Linked DNA regions of Macaca mulatta. The protein of the gene in region 1 interacts with the protein of each later gene in a biochemical or structural test. Links are inferred from orthologs where the notes say so. Each region holds a gene or a part of one and is shown in the gene's direction. Other genes may lie near its edges.

Evidence for each region.
Region 2: the proteins of UBE2E3 (region 1) and RNF14 form a complex in vitro, tested with the Homo sapiens proteins (2 studies listed by BioGRID). The link is inferred for Macaca mulatta from reciprocal best matches to the Homo sapiens genes UBE2E3 and RNF14.
Region 3: of the proteins of UBE2E3 (region 1) and UBA1, one has a biochemical effect on the other in vitro, tested with the Homo sapiens proteins (3 studies listed by BioGRID, with this or other methods). The link is inferred for Macaca mulatta from reciprocal best matches to the Homo sapiens genes UBE2E3 and UBA1.
Region 4: the proteins of UBE2E3 (region 1) and RNF25 form a complex in vitro, tested with the Homo sapiens proteins (2 studies listed by BioGRID, with this or other methods). The link is inferred for Macaca mulatta from reciprocal best matches to the Homo sapiens genes UBE2E3 and RNF25.

What each region holds. Positions count from the first base shown.
Region 1 is NC_133417.1:85,866,690-85,870,758, forward strand, and holds the start of UBE2E3 (ubiquitin-conjugating enzyme E2 E3), read left to right. Parts: upstream 1-1,528; intron 1,529-1,958; coding exon of another isoform or gene 1,959-2,001; intron 2,002-2,158; 5' UTR 2,159-2,183; coding exon 2,184-2,377; intron 2,378-4,069. Other genes in the region: uncharacterized protein LOC144333280, read right to left, coding at 207-1,438, 1,959-2,001. UniProt on the Homo sapiens protein: Accepts ubiquitin from the E1 complex and catalyzes its covalent attachment to other proteins. In vitro catalyzes 'Lys-11'- and 'Lys-48'-, as well as 'Lys-63'-linked polyubiquitination.
Region 2 is NC_133411.1:150,838,665-150,842,227, forward strand, and holds part of RNF14 (E3 ubiquitin-protein ligase RNF14), read left to right. Parts: intron 1-861; coding exon 862-1,034; exon of another isoform or gene 1,035-1,060; intron 1,061-2,628; exon of another isoform or gene 2,629-2,663; coding exon 2,664-2,794; intron 2,795-3,563. UniProt on the Homo sapiens protein: E3 ubiquitin-protein ligase that plays a key role in the RNF14-RNF25 translation quality control pathway, a pathway that takes place when a ribosome has stalled during translation, and which promotes ubiquitination and degradation of translation factors on stalled ribosomes.
Region 3 is NC_133426.1:47,232,033-47,235,595, forward strand, and holds part of UBA1 (ubiquitin-like modifier-activating enzyme 1), read left to right. Parts: intron 1-497; coding exon 498-604; coding exon of another isoform or gene 605-692; intron 693-859; coding exon of another isoform or gene 860-880; coding exon 881-971; intron 972-1,082; coding exon 1,083-1,215; intron 1,216-1,759; coding exon 1,760-1,857; intron 1,858-1,964; coding exon 1,965-2,111; intron 2,112-2,242; coding exon 2,243-2,419; intron 2,420-2,543; coding exon 2,544-2,648; intron 2,649-2,736; coding exon 2,737-2,817; intron 2,818-3,143; coding exon 3,144-3,299; intron 3,300-3,563. UniProt on the Homo sapiens protein: Catalyzes the first step in ubiquitin conjugation to mark cellular proteins for degradation through the ubiquitin-proteasome system.
Region 4 is NC_133417.1:123,910,940-123,915,107, reverse strand, and holds the start of RNF25 (E3 ubiquitin-protein ligase RNF25), read left to right. Parts: upstream 1-1,342; 5' UTR 1,343-1,374; coding exon 1,375-1,415; intron 1,416-4,168. Other genes in the region: STK36 (serine/threonine-protein kinase 36), read right to left, coding at 431-514. UniProt on the Homo sapiens protein: E3 ubiquitin-protein ligase that plays a key role in the RNF14-RNF25 translation quality control pathway, a pathway that takes place when a ribosome has stalled during translation, and which promotes ubiquitination and degradation of translation factors on stalled ribosomes.

The sequences.
Region 1 (4,069 bases):
CCTTCACTTTTAAGAATGTTGAGCGGGACATTTTAAACACTGTTTTGGATTTTTAAGGTTTCAAAGCATCCGAAGGACGGTCTCTTTTGGCAGCGACAGTTGCAAGCTGTGAGCCAAAAATAAATAGAGGTTGGTCCCCTAATCAACAAATATATTCTACTCTCTTCAATGCCCAGGACCCCACCTTGTCCCTTCCTCCAGCTTACACGAGGGGCAAGTGGCAGCTCTTCTCCGCCTGCGTGCCTGGCCTCGCCAACAACACCCATTAGTCTCCCGTCTCCCGGGGCGGCGGGGGACTCCCAACCACGCGCCCAGGGCCCTTTCCCAGGTACTGGGGCCCCGGGAGCCACGACGTCCCCCACGCAGGCGAACGGGATGGAACTAGCCCTGGGGACGCGGGTAGCCCAATGGGCAGCCTCCGCCCGGAGGCGGGCCCAGGCCGGAAGCCACCCCGCGGCACAGCGGCCCCACGATACGGTGCCCGCGCCCCCGCCTTCTCTGGCACAGGCTCCGCGGCCAAGGGCGGCAGGGGCCAGCCCGCCAGGTCCCCGCCGCGCTCTTTGTCCTGGCCGCGCGCGGGCGGACGCGTGCACCCCCCGGGTGAGGGGAGGTGCGGGGAGCGCGCGCGGGAGCGCGCGGGAACAGCTCGCGCCCGCCGGGCGCCGGCGGCGCGCGCCCCTCCGCCAGGCAAGCAGCGAGCACGCGCGCCGCCGCCGCGCCCGCCCCTCCCCCCGCGTTCGCCTCGGAACTTGCTGACTGCGCGGCCGGGAGGAGCCGAGCCGGGCGGCGGCGGCGGGAGGCCACAGCGCGCGGGGGTCTCCCGCGTCCCCTCCGCCTCGCCGGGAGCTCGCGCCCTCGCCCAGCCGAGCTCCCACCCCCCCTTTTTTCCGAAGGCGCTGGGCGGCGCCACCCTCCGGCCGGAGCCCGGCACTGCACAACCCCCTCCGACTTTCAATGTTCCACACTCCCCGGCCAGAGCCTCCTCGGCTTCTTTTTTTCCCTCCCCCCCCTTCCCCCCCCCACAGCTGCCTCCATTTCCTTAAGGAAGGGTTTTTTTCTCTCTCCCTCCCCCACACCGTAGCGGCGCGCGAGCGGGCCGGGCGGGCGGCCGAGGTAAGGCGGAGGGGCCGGGGGGCCGCGTGGGGGGCGGCCGGGGCGGCGGCGGCTGCGGTGGGGGAGGGGGCGGGGGCGGGCAGCTTTGTTCGCGCCGGGCGCCCGCGCCGCCGGTGTCCGCGAGCCGCGGCGGGGCCGGCCGGGCTGCTCGCATCACTTGGCGCCCGGCGCGGCGAGCGCTGCCCGCGGCCCCCGCGCGGCCCTCCCCACAAAGGGCCGCGGAGCTGCGTGGCCGCCGCCGCCGGCCGCGGCTCGCCTCCGCGGGCGCGGAAATTTGTTGCACTTCTTGGGGCTTTGTTTGTTTGTTTGTTTTTCCTCTGGGTTTCTTATTTTTTTCGTTATTTTGGACAAAATGTCGGTCCGTGATGTAAAAATTGAGCGAGGAACCTTGGTGGCATTGGGAGCTTTGCAGAAGGTGCAGTTTGAATTCTGCTTTTCCCAGGGTGGCAGCTAGGTCTTGGCCAGATGAATCTTCGCTGCTGGCGGTGGAAACAGCTAGAGGAGCTCGTTAGTTGATTTTTAAATTTCCAAGTGTTGTGTTTAAAGCCTTTACGTGCACTGAGAAGGAATCGCCACCTTAAATAAGCATATGGGCGATTAACAGGGTGTGTTTTCCTCTCGGAAAGGGAATTTGGTAGCTTTGACCAATGTCAGTGTGTAAATATTTAGACGTTATTAGTGACTTTTAAACATTTTTTCAGCGAGATCTGTTATTTACAGTATGTCATATGTTATTAATGCTTGTTGCCTAAGTTCCTTGGCAAATCTGTTTCATGCCTTCTGAGAAAGTAGACAATTGATAGATTGTCCAAGAGATGGAAAAAAATGTGAGTGGGTTTTCTAACTTGAGTTCGGCAAATCCCTGAACGCTGGCGTTGTGTGACACATCACCTCCCTTGTAACCCTTGTTGTATGATGAAATAAGTGTGAACACTTTTGAAGCTTTTTCATTACAATACGATATTAGATGAATAGAAGAAAATGCTGTTGGTTTATTTCCTAGATTTAACATTTTCTCCCCATCCTCCCCTGTTCTCTTTAAAAGTTTTCCAAGAGATAACTTCACCAAGATGTCCAGTGATAGGCAAAGGTCCGATGATGAGAGCCCCAGCACCAGCAGTGGCAGTTCAGATGCGGACCAGCGAGACCCAGCCGCTCCAGAGCCTGAAGAACAAGAGGAAAGAAAACCTTCTGCCGCCCAGCAGAAGAAAAACACCAAACTCTCTAGCAAAACCACTGCTAAGTTATCCACTAGTGCTAAAAGGTAATGTGTAAAAGAAGGATCCAGCACACTTTGTCAGGTTGTCTTCCAGGTGGTTGGACGCTTTTGTTGGTTTTACATCAGTAGCAATAGTTCAGAAATATTTACTTCATTATCAGTTTATTTGTACTTGAATGAGTTGTCATTCTTTAGGTGGTATGTATGCAACCTTGCTAGAATTATGCTTTTAAGCAAACTTATTCTGTACTTCGGTAACTTCAGTTGAGTATCCTTGAGTAGAGATTAGACTAACATTCTGACAGATTGTTTAAGGAGTTGGCAAGGAAAATTTGGTGAACCCAAATTAGATGGTACTTTGGGGATGTTTCCTTTTATGAGTCATAATCTTCTTTAATGAAATTGACACTTCCAGAGATTAGCAGGGCCTCTCTTCATGAAACTTAATGATCAGAAATGATCATATTTGCTAGAAAATTGCAAATTCAGGCCTTTGCTATGTTTGAAAGCAGATTTAAAATCGTGCTGCAAATCTGCTTACAGTTTTACAAAACATGACTTTAAATCATGTATCACAGGTAACTTTCGTGGTTAAATTATGATTATCCCTCCCTGTGCTTGTGAGGGCAAATCAAACTGAAAAGTAGCCCTTTACAATTTGAGGTGTCACTGGTGATAGAAAACTTTCATTGTCCTTGGACCTCTTCACTCTGAAACTTGTGGATGTGCTTGACAAGTTAATACTCAACAGCAGGAGAAACATATTTAATTGGATGTAAGTGGAAGATCATTTGTTTCCTATTGATTTATATTTTCTGATAGAGAAGAAAAGATTCTGTCAATGAGACTCTGTCAGTGGTAGTAGTAGTGGAACATCCACAAACTCTAGTAATTATACATAAAATGTATAATCTCTACAGCGTTAGCCAATGTTGACATTTTGTTAATTTTTATTGATCACAACTAAAGGAAAAAATATTTCTACAAATACTGCATTCTGTGGTGATTCATAAATACTCATATTTTTCTATGGATTTTCACCTTTATTGTCTCAGTAATGATGTATTAATAACTTGAGAATATTTTTGAATGGCAGCAGTCTTTGACATAATATAAAATCCTTCTCAATTTGGTATAGTGTTGATGCAGAACATATTAGACACGTCTAAAGTTTTGAAAGCATCTTAAATTTGAATCAAATCAGAGAACTGCTTTTCTCCCCCTTAACTCAGGCCTATGTATTTTCTCTTTCTGTCAATATTTACTAAATTTAAGTGCTGTGCCTATGATCAGGGAAAACAGAAATGGGTAAATTAGAATGTCATGTAGTCTTCGAAAGTTTTTCACCAGTAAAGATATTTGTAAATTTTAAACTTTTTTTTTGACAGATAAAATATTGTCAGAACTGTTAATGTGCTGTTGCAGTAGCCTGTTAATTTTTACCTCAGTAAAAGTCACTCGAAGTCCTTGTCAAATATTCCAGTGCTTTCCCTCCTCCCTTTTTGTCTCATTTGCATATAAGCTTGAAAAGAGAATTTCTTTGGTAAAAAGTGTTTTGAAATAGATATTATATTCTTTACTGAGTACTAGTGGATGAGTATTTTTCAAATCAAGTGTAAATGACTTACTTATTTGCAGCAGCAAGTGAGAAAAAAAGCTGCAAAGTTTCTGTTAAGGGATTTGGGTTATGCCTCTGAGAACAAAGAGGAAGCAGCCATGTTAGCATTACTGAAGGCA
Region 2 (3,563 bases), on another chromosome or scaffold:
GTTGGGAAAACTCTTTAATTGTGTTGAAAAATTAAGTAATAGAATTGTGAACAAAAGCCTCTTGTCTGCAAGTAAAGCCTTTGGGATTAGTTACCTGTTCCATTTCAGTTAAATGATAGAGCAGTAGAAGCCAGACTGAAGAGTATCAAGGGAAAACTTTTCAGCACCTATAGCAAAGCATAGTACAGGGTGAGACTTGAGTGGTAAGTTTTATTCACTGATTTTTTTTTTTTTTAACACAAAATTGAAGAGGTAGTCTTTGCTCTTAAGCCAAAGGTGCCTTTGTATTTGGTAGGCCTCTTCATTATCAAACGGTGAATGGTGCCAACTTAGTGGAAAAATCAATGTCTGTTTCAACCTTTGTATCTTCTAGATAAGTCAGTCTTTAACTGCATACTTCTAGTTGCATAAACATACCAACATTAAGAAATCAAAACAAAGGAAAAAAATAACCTATCTTATTCTACCACTTTTAGCAGATACATCTTTTCTAGTTGGGGGATTCCTTTCCATTCATTATCATTTGTGCATGTATAATTTTTACTGGGTTGTAACATAAATATACTTTTTTTCTGGATTCTGTGATGAGTGTTTTAATTGGGTTGTAGCGAATGTAATTATGTTTTTAATAATTGAATATTGCGACATTAAATGGCTCTTTCAAACATAATTATTTCCTTAGAAATTTAATTTTTTTGCCACTGTTATATGCATCTCCATGCATATGACTTTGGATTACTTCCTTATGATAAAGTTCTAGGAATAACATTATTGAATAGTCAAAGATTATAGCCATTTTTAATGATTTTTAGTTTGCATTACAAAGTTATATAAAAGTTAATTTTCCATTTCACTTTCTAGAGAAATTAATGGACTTACGAAATGAATACCTGCAAGCAGATGAGGCTAATAAAAGACTTTTGGATCAAAGGTATGGTAAGAGAGTGATTCAGAAGGCACTGGAAGAGATGGAAAGTAAGGAGTGGCTAGAGAAGAACTCAAAGAGCTGCCCATGTTGTGGAACTCCCATAGAGGTAAATGATTTGGGACAGACTTGGAGGCCATCAGACTTGCAAGCATGCTATGATTACCTTAAGAAGCCTTATTAGTCAATTTTATGACTTACAAAACACATGCTGGTATTATTGCACCTTCCTTACTTGGAAGGTGGAAATTTCACTACTAAATCTTGTTATCGACCTTAAATGTTTGTAGACTTCCCTTTTCAAAGTCTTTTCTTTGTGTCTTTCTTACAGTGACCATTGTTCTTACATTGTATCCATCTCAAAATTGAATGGGTTGTAAGGAGGGCATACTAGAGCTATGGTCACTTCTTACCTCATCTATGTGATTAAAAAAAATCAAATCTGACCTCTCAGAACTATTTATCCTGGAATGCTGCACACCTGTTTAAGATACACTCAGGAATTAATCTGAGTCAAAATAATTACACAACTCTATTGCTTCTTGACAAAAATCTTAATATGTTTTATTTTTTTTATTTTTATTTTTTATTTTTTTTTTTTATTTTTATTTTTTATTTATTTATTTTTTTTTTTTGAGACGGAGTCTCGCTCTGTCGCCCAGGCTGGAGTGCAGTGGCCGCATCTCAGCTCACTGCAAGCTCCGCCTCCCGGGTCTACGCCATTCTCCTGCCTCAGCCTCCCGAGTAGCTGGGACTACAGGCGCCCGCCACCTCACCCGGCTAGTTTTTTTTTTTTGTATTTTTTAGTAGAGACGGGGTTTCACCGTATTAGCCAGGCTGGTCTCGATCTCCTGACCTTGTGATCCGCCCGTCTCGGCCTCCCAAAGTGCTGGGATTACAGGCTTGAGCCACCGCGCCCGGCCATTCTTAATATGTTTTAAAATCAAAATACATCTTTGCATTTGATTCTATTGTTCTAATCTATTATGTCTGAACTGAACATAGTAGTGATACTCCAGGTAAGGAAACTGGCACTATATATAATCACTTTTTTGTTTTTTTGATACTGAGTCTCTCTCTGTTGCCCAGGCTGGAGTGTGGTAGTGCAATATAGGCTAACTACAATCTCCGCCTCCCAGGTTCAAGGAATTTTCATGCCTCAGCCTCCCGAGTAGCTGGGATTACAGGTGCCAGCCACCACACCTGGCTAATGTTTGTATTTTTAGTAGAGATGGGGTTTTATCATGTTGGCCAGGCTGGTCTCCAACTCCTGACCTCAAATGACCCACCCACCTTGGCCTCCCAAAGTGCTGGGATTACAGGCATGAGCCACCACACCTGGCCATTTAATCACTTTTGACATACCTTAGCCCTATGACAGAGTGGAGGACTTGGTACCAAATATTTACTTGGATTTATGTAAAAATTAAAAACCCACACGTTACATCCAAGTATTTTAATATTAATCTACATGTTCCAGTTATATGTGTGTGATTTTTATCTACTGCTTATCAGAAGAGATTGTGCCAAGTAACTAGTTGTAGTAACACTAGCTATTTTCTGTATTTTAGAGTGCAAAATAGAATTACATAGTCATCAGTGTGTTACATTGATATCTCAACCCTGCATAAGAAAAAGGAGAAGACCAGGACAATGTTGTACTGAATCACTTTGGCATGTGCATGTCTCTTCTGCTCTTACAGCCTTGATATTTTTCTCTTTCTATCCTTCCCACCAGAAATTAGATGGATGTAACAAGATGACATGTACTGGCTGTAAGCAATATTTCTGTTGGATTTGCATGGGTTCTCTCTCTAGAGCAAACCCTTACAAACATTTCAATGACCCTGCTTCACCATGTTTTAACCGGTATGTATACACAGAATTCCTTAGGCTCTCCAGCAATTTTTGGTACTTGATTTGCAGACCACACATCCAGTGTTTTATTTAAGTACTTGGACTTATTTAGAGAATTCTCTTACATGTTTTCCCCCATGAAGGAATTTTTATATTATTTTCTCAAAAATGAGCTTTATAATGAGAATATACACTATCTGGAAGTTTTTATAGTGAAAGTTTTCAAACATACAGAAAATTTGAAAGGATAGGACTATGAATAGTAGAATACCTTCCACCCAAATTAACAATTGATAATACTTTGCCATATTTGTTCCCTTAATATTTTTGCTGAACTACATGAAGTTGGAGTTATGATAATGCTTCAACTAAATATTTCCACGTTTCTCCTAAGATAAGGAAATGCTTCTACATCATGACAGTACTTTTAAAAAATTTAATGATAGTGGCATACTGTTATCTAGTAAACAAACATTTGAAACTTCCTAATTATTTCTGAAAATATATTTTAAAGCTATTTGATTGAACCAGAATCTAAACAAGTTCAGTCACTGTATTTGGTTCTATCTCTTTAGTTTCTTAATGCAGAAAAGCTTTGGCCCACCTTTTTTGTGTGTGTGTTTTGTGAACATTCACTTTTTTTTTTTTTCTTTGAGACGGAGTTTCACTCTGTCGCCCAGGCTGGAGTGCAGTGGTGCAATCTCGGCTCACTGCAAGCTCCGCCACCCAGGTTCATGCCATTCTCCTGCCTTAGCCTCCCAAGTAGCTGGGACTACAGGCA
Region 3 (3,563 bases), on another chromosome or scaffold:
GTCGGCCCTGGGTTGCCAGGGCACTGCAGCTAAATCCGGATGGAGGAATAGGAGCTCACCCTGGTGGGGAAGGATGGACATTCAGGCAGAGAGCAAAATCCCAAAGATCATGCGGAGCAGGCATTGTCTTGGGAATTGGAAGCAGGTGGGTGTGGTAGGAGTGAGCTCAGACTTTGGCTGGAGACAGAGTTTTACTCCAGTGTCTCACAGGGCATGGCAAGCAGACAGCAGCGGGTGTTTGTCAAATAAATGAGTCAGCTCTTCTCCAAACTCCGTCCTCCCAGCTACCTCTTCACCTTTCCTGGTATAGTCTAGGAGTTCATTTTTGACCCCCACAGAGTCTGATGCACAGTAGGTGCTGTGTGTTTGTGAAAGAGGCTGACCCAGCAAAGCCTGGATGTGTCTGCCTTGAGGACTGCCTGAGTCCTTGACATCAGCCCTCCACCATTTTCTCCTCTTCACCCCAATGCTGGGCCTGAGCCTCCATCTCTCCACAGGTGGTGGTGCTCACCAACACCCCCCTGGAGGACCAGCTGCGAGTGGGTGAGTTCTGTCACAGCCGTGGCATCAAGCTGGTGGTGGCAGACACAAGGGGCCTGTTTGGGTGAGTGGCGGCCCACCCCGCTCCCTGTCCCCTTTTCCTCCAACTCCTACCAGGCCCAGGCCAAGACCTCTAGGCTCTCCCTGCCCTCGTCCCTCCTCAGCTACCCAGATTTTGGGTTCTTTGTGTTCATCTCTCCTCATGTGGCACAAGTACCATCTTACATCCCAGCAGTGATAGGCTGAGTTTGCTCAGCAAGTTTTCACTACATCTTGAGGGACCTGTGGGGCCTGTTTGTGCATGGGACACGGGCATCAGCCCTATTGCTTCCCTCTACAGGCAGCTCTTCTGTGACTTTGGAAAGGAAATGATCCTCACAGATTCCAATGGGGAGCAGCCGCTCAGTGCTATGGTTTCTATGGTTACCAAGGTAAGGAGACCAGCCCTAGGGTTCCTGGCGGGCAGGTGGGCTGTGGTAGTCCTTCCTGTCCGCTCTTGGTACCCTGGGCCTGTTTCTGAGACTCACTCTTCCTTTAACCAGGACAACCCTGGTGTGGTTACCTGCCTGGATGAGGCCCGACACGGGTTTGAAAGTGGGGACTTTGTCTCCTTTTCAGAAGTACAGGGCATGGTTGAACTCAACGGAAATCAGCCCATGGAGATCAAAGTCCTGGGTGAGTTGGGACCATGGGGGAAGCAGAGGGAAGCTAGGAGATATGTTCCTGGGTTCTGGCTAGGGAGTTGAAGGGAGGAGACATGGCCCTTGGTTCAGATTGGGGAGACACATCCTGTTGTTTAAGATGAACTACAGACAGAATCCCGTGGGGTCCAATAAGAGCTGGTGGGCATGAGGGAGAGGTGCTGTGTTCGAGCTATTCCTGGGAGAATGTGTCCCTGGTATCTGAGCTGAGGGGGAAAAGGTCTCTGGTGTTTGAACAGGGCAGGTCAGAGGATCTACTGTGTGTGAGCTGATTTGGATGGGAAGCACATAAGGTCTTCCCATGTAGACTTGGAGCCAGGGACATAGGGTCTCACAGGGTCTGAGCTGGGTCTGGGGCACAGGAGAGATGTTTTCTGATGTCCATGTGGAGCCTGGAGCAGAGGGGAGATGGCGTCTGATGTCTGAGCTGAGTTGGGGCAGGAGGTTCCTTATCTTGCAGGGGTTGTGGATTTTAGGGAGAATGGGTAGACTGATAGCTCTCTTCCTGCCCTCTATAGGTCCTTATACCTTTAGCATCTGTGACACCTCCAACTTCTCCGACTATATCCGTGGAGGCATCGTCAGTCAGGTCAAAGTACCTAAGAAGATTAGCTTTGTGAGTGTGTCAGTGGGAACAGTGGCTATGTGGGGTAGTTCTAGGCATTCCCGAGTTCTCCATTCCTCTCTTCTGGTTCTGATGACCTCCCCCTTCCCCCGCCACAGAAATCCTTGGTGGCCTCACTGGCAGAACCTGACTTTGTGATGACGGACTTCGCCAAGTTTTCTCACCCTGCCCAGCTGCACATTGGCTTCCAGGCCCTGCACCACTTCTGTGCTCAGCATGGCCGGCCACCTCGGCCCCGCAATGAGGTGGGTGGGTAGGCGAGCCAGCCAATGCACACATGCCTGGCACTGAAGGCCCACCATGCTTCTGCTTATCCACACTCCCTGCCCTCATTGTGGCCTGACAGATCCTCTTTTGGTTCTTTCTGGCCTACCAGGAGGATGCAACAGAACTGGTGGCCTTAGCACAGGCTGTGAATGCTCGAGCCCTGCCAGCAGTGCAGCAAGAGAACCTGGACGAGGACCTCATCCGGAAGTTGGCATATGTGGCTGCTGGGGATCTGGCACCCATAAACGCCTTCATTGGGGGCCTGGCTGCCCAGGAAGTCATGAAGGTCAGCATGGGTTGGGAGAGGCAGGATTGGGGTGGGCCAGGTGCCTCCCTGACTCCATCACTTGCTCTCTGTGTCAGGCCCCTGTTAACCACTGACCACCCCCTCTCTCCCTTCCCCTCTCCAGGCCTGCTCCGGGAAGTTCATGCCCATCATGCAGTGGCTATACTTTGATGCCCTTGAGTGTCTCCCTGAGGACAAAGAGGCCCTCACGGAGGACAAGTGCCTCCCAGTATGTGGGTGGGACCTGTGGGGAGGGCATCATTGGGGGCATTTCTGGGGAGGCCTCTCTCTGACCCTCCTCCCTTTGCATTCCTTAGCGCCAGAACCGTTACGATGGGCAAGTGGCTGTGTTTGGCTCAGACCTGCAAGAGAAGCTGGGCAAGCAGAAGTATTTCCTGGTGAGTGGTCCCCTTGGATGCCTGCTCCCCTCATCTTGGCCTCTGACCATCTGCCCTGGGGCTTCCTTCAGCATTTCAACGCAACCTGTGGGGCATTCCCTTTGCCATTCTCCTTATCTTGAAGGGAAGCCCAGTGCATCCCTCGTTTCCCGCTCTGGTTCCTCCTTCCTCACACGACTGCATGTCATTTCTTAGAGTCCTGGAACCTGAAGATGTGGTGTTAGCCCCTCTCCCCATCTCTCAGGGGAGTGAGGGGTGATGGGTAGCCTCACACTAACCTGCATCACCCTGACCAGCCTCTGCCTGTCTTCTTGGTTGCCTCTTAGGTGGGTGCGGGGGCCATTGGCTGTGAGCTGCTCAAGAACTTTGCCATGATTGGGCTGGGCTGCAGGGAGGGTGGAGAAATCATCGTTACAGACATGGACACCATTGAGAAGTCAAATCTGAATCGACAGTTTCTTTTCCGGCCCTGGGATGTCACGGTGAGTAGGGTAGGAGGTGGGGCTTTGTCATCTCACTTTCCTCCTTTTTCTTTTTTTTTTTTTTTTTCTTGAGACAGAGTTTTGCTCTTGTTGCCCAGGCTGGAGTGCAGTGGCATGATCTCTGGCCCACCGCAACCTCTGCCTCCTGGGTTCAAGCGATTCTCCTGCCTCAGCCTCCTGAGTAGCTGGGATTACAGGCATGCGCCGCCATGCCCGGCTAATTTTGGTTTTTAAGTAGAGACAGGGTCTCTCCATGTTGGTCAG
Region 4 (4,168 bases), about 38 Mb from region 1:
GGAAAAAAAATTAAGAGGAAATAATAGAGTTCAAGTGGTTTACCTCTTACTACATGGTGTGCTAGAGACTAATAATAATAATATTTGTTGTTTACTAAGAGCCAGGCACTGTACTAACTGATTTAATGTGACAACATACTTAATCTCAAATGCCATCAATCAGTTGCTGTTCTTATCCCCATTCTAGAGATGAGGAAATTGAGACATAGAGAAGTTAAGTAATTTGTCCATAATTCTAGGGTTAGAAAGCGGTGGAGATGGAACTTATACCCAAATAATACAACTTCAGAGCTTATACTCCATAAGAAGTATGAGAGAGTCAATGCCTTAGGAATATAAACTGGTATACATACATCCCTTCTAGACCCATTTTCCACTGGAGTTGGGGGTACCAAATCCCACCCAAAAGGTATCCCTCTTTGTACAATACCTGAGCACTGTATTTTCTTCGACCCTTGTACACCCTCCCAAAAGAGCCTTCTCCAATCATCTCCAACACGTGGTACTTTTCCATGACAGAGGTTTCAGAATCTCTTAGAAGGAAAAAGGTAGAGACGGTGAAGAGCTATAGATCCAGGGACAATTCCACAACATCTGGGAGGCCTAGTTGGGGCATGGGAAAGGAAAAATGTTAGCCATCTTGCCTTTTCTCTTTTTCACAAAGACCAAGCCTCAAAAAACATGGGAGGGTAGAATGATGCAAAGATGATGCGATCTTGGAACAAACACAGCATCTCTTTGTAGTTCCTCTCCACTTTCAGCCTCCTGTCCCCAACCCGGCCCCATGCCCACCTGACACCTGGTCCCCCTTCTCCCTCATCCAGCTTGGCCCACTCGACCCTGCTCTCTTAACCTAGCATCGCCCACCCAACCCTGCTCCTTCGAGTCTCCCCCAAGTTCCTGCCACTCCCAGATTCCTCAGCACCTGCTCTCAGACCCCCTGGCCCATGCGCTTCGCAAGCCAGGGTCCCTCTCTCATCCCCAGCCTAGGAGATCCAAGCTCCTCGGGCCCAGGGACGGATTCCCTGGCCTTTAGCCCCATATCTTCTGGCTGCCTGCATACGTTGCCTGACTTACAATTCTTCTCCACCCGCCCCTCTCGCCAGTCTCTTTTGGCTCCCTTTCTAACAATTTCACTCGCTAGAACTGGTGAGAAGTTCAGAGGACAAAGGCGCTCAGAGGTGTGGGAGGGACGGCGGACCACACATGGGCACTTCCTGGGACGCATCCGAACTGCCTCTGGGCCATCAGGCCCGGCTAAGGACCCGGAGTCTGCGGTTGCCTAGAAACGACGCTAGCTGCCCACCCCTCTTAGTTTTCCGCCTCCGACTTCCCTAAGGGCATTTCCGGTTCCGGCTGCGGGCCGGTGAAGACATGGCGGCGTCTGCGTCTGCAGCTACAGGGGAGGAGGACTGGTAACTTCGGGGGCATGGGCTTTGGCTGACAGTCTGGGTCTAGTCCAGAGGCCTAGCAGCTGTCGCAGACGGTCCGTACGGCGGGCGTGTGGGGTGGAGCGAAGGATGAGGGATGGCAGAGATGCTGACATCTCCTCTGGGAGATCTTCTAGACTGGGGAACGGGAGGGTGGAGGGGCGCTGATCTGAGTGAGAAGAGACCGGGTCTGCGCCCGCCAGACCAGTTCAGGCCTCGCCTTATCCGGTTCGATCCCCTTTCCTCCAGCTTCACGCTATCCCTTTCTATGCTCCTCAAATGAATTTTCTCAGGGGCTTTGGGGGATGCCTGCCCGTCAGACCTCCCCATCTCCCTTTCGCCTCTCAGAACTAGTGCCCTCCAGTTCGGTACCCCTTTCTCCTTGGATCAGCGTTTTTCCGCCGACGCTTTCCTCAACCTTCTCTCTCCCACACAGCACTAGTGAGGACTATTGTCTGAATAAAGCTTTACACCTCACATAAAGTCCCTCTAGTCCTTCTCTCAAGCATTCTTAACTAAAGACTAGAACATGGAAGGACTCTGGGATTTGGAAGTAGGATCAATGTGGGTTAACTCCGCATTTTATTAGCTGTGTGATGCTGACCAGGCCATCTAGCTTCTGTGAGTCAGTGTCCTCAGCTGTAAAAACAAAGTGGGTGTGGTATTTACCTCAGAATAGTTGAGAGGATCACGATGGATTTGTAATATACTTAAGTCTGTTTTTTTGTTTTGTTTTGTTTTGTTTTGTTTTTTGAGACAGAGTCTCACTGTCACCCACGCTGGAGTGCGGTGGTGCGATTATGGCTCACTGCAGCCTCAACCTCCCCAGGCTCAGGTGATCCTCCTGCCTCAGCCTTCCAAGTAGCTGAGGCTACAGGTCTGTGCCACCATGCCCAGCTAATTTTGTATTTTTTGTAGAGACAGAGTTTTGCCATGTTGGCCAGGCTGGTCTTGAACCCCTGGGTTCAAGTGATCCTCCCACCTCAGCCTCCCAAGGTGCTGGAATTACAGGCGTGAGCCACCACACCCGGCCTCCTTTTCATTAATAACTGAGGTGCAGGCACCTGGGAAGATTAGATGAGCCCCAAAGAAGTAAAGTGATTTGCCAAAAGGTGGAAAATTGCGACTAGAAATCCACATCTATCTGACTCCACACCTTAGATTCTTTATACTAGGACATTCTTCAGTCCCCTCTCCCCCATTTTGTTGTCACCACCTTACCAGCATCCCATCCAGGACCCACATAACTAGGGTAGGCAAAGTATTGAAGGGCCACTTGACTGAGGCTACACCTCAGTGTTACATTGGTTCAGGGAGCCCTGCTAGTACTGGCCTTTATTAAGACTATCTAGACTACTGGTTTTCAAAGTGTTCAGGGAAACTTTTTCTTTTCTTTTTTTAAGAGACGGAGTCTTACTTTGTCACCCAGGCTGGAGTACAGTGGCAAGATCATGGCTCATTACAGACTCAACCTTCTGGGCTCCAGCGATTCTTCTGCCTCAGCCTCCCAAGTAGCTGGGACCACTGTGTCCAGCTAATTTTTTATTTTCTGTAGAGATAGTCTCGCTTTGTTGCCCAGGCTGGTCTCGAACTCCTGGCCTCAAGTGATCCTCCCACCTCAGCCTCCCAAAGTGCTGGGATAACTTATAGTTGACCTGTTCAGGGGAACTTTTAAGATTCAGGGGAAACACCTTGAGCCATGGAGAGAACAACAGTGAGTGCAGCAGCCTGTAGTGCTGTGAGACTCCCATCCCATGTCAGCCAAAACTACACTATTTTCTGTGAGGTGTAAAGCTTTGTATTTTATATTTTGAAGTTTCTGCCTAAGACTTAACAACAACTGACATAAGTCATGCTGGAGCAGCCTTACTCTTAGAATGAAGAGAGAGCAGTATGAGAAAGGAAAGTATGCATTTTTCCATGTATCACCTGGTAGAGCTGTAGACACAAACTGATCACTCAGCTTCAATTTCAATACAACTACTGTTTCTATGCTTATGCATGTGTGTCCTCTGATTTACATCGGAACATGGATGCTAACCTCAACAGGCTGATCTAGATCAACCAGACAGCCAGGGTCATAAATACATCCAGAGTACTCTACTACCTCCCTCCTTCCCTCTTCCTTCTAAGGGAGAAGGTTATATACAGACAGGAAGAAAAAGAGGATGTAGACTAGCTACTATAGCCCAGATACTATTAGGTACTTTATATAAACAAATCACCTTTTATCCTCATAGTAACCCTAGAGAGTAGGTGTTATCATCTATATGTGATAGACAGGATAACTTAAGCTTACAGAGAGGTCACTTCCCAGATCGCATAGCTTGTAAGTGATTGGTACCTGTTACTAACTCCGAGGCTGCTGGCTTTTCCATTACAACACAGCCTTTACACCACCCTAGACCTGTTGTGTTGAGGTTGCTATCTCCTTTAAGAAGGCTTAGGGTGACTGGTGTTAAAAGTGTATGTAGACAGTAGCCAAGGCACTGGGATCCACACTGGACATTGATGTAGGGAAAGGCTGGAGTAATATTGGTAACGTTAATGCTAGTAAATGGGTGCCGTACCTCTAGACCAGAAAGTCAGCCACTAAGGGGAATGAAACTTAAACAGGGAGTCAGGAACCCGACTCTGGGCCCAGTTCTACCTATGTTAAGCCTTGGTTAGTCATTTTATTTTTCTGGAATCCACTTCTTCATCTCTTGGCAGAAATAATGCTTAAAATTCTGATTTTT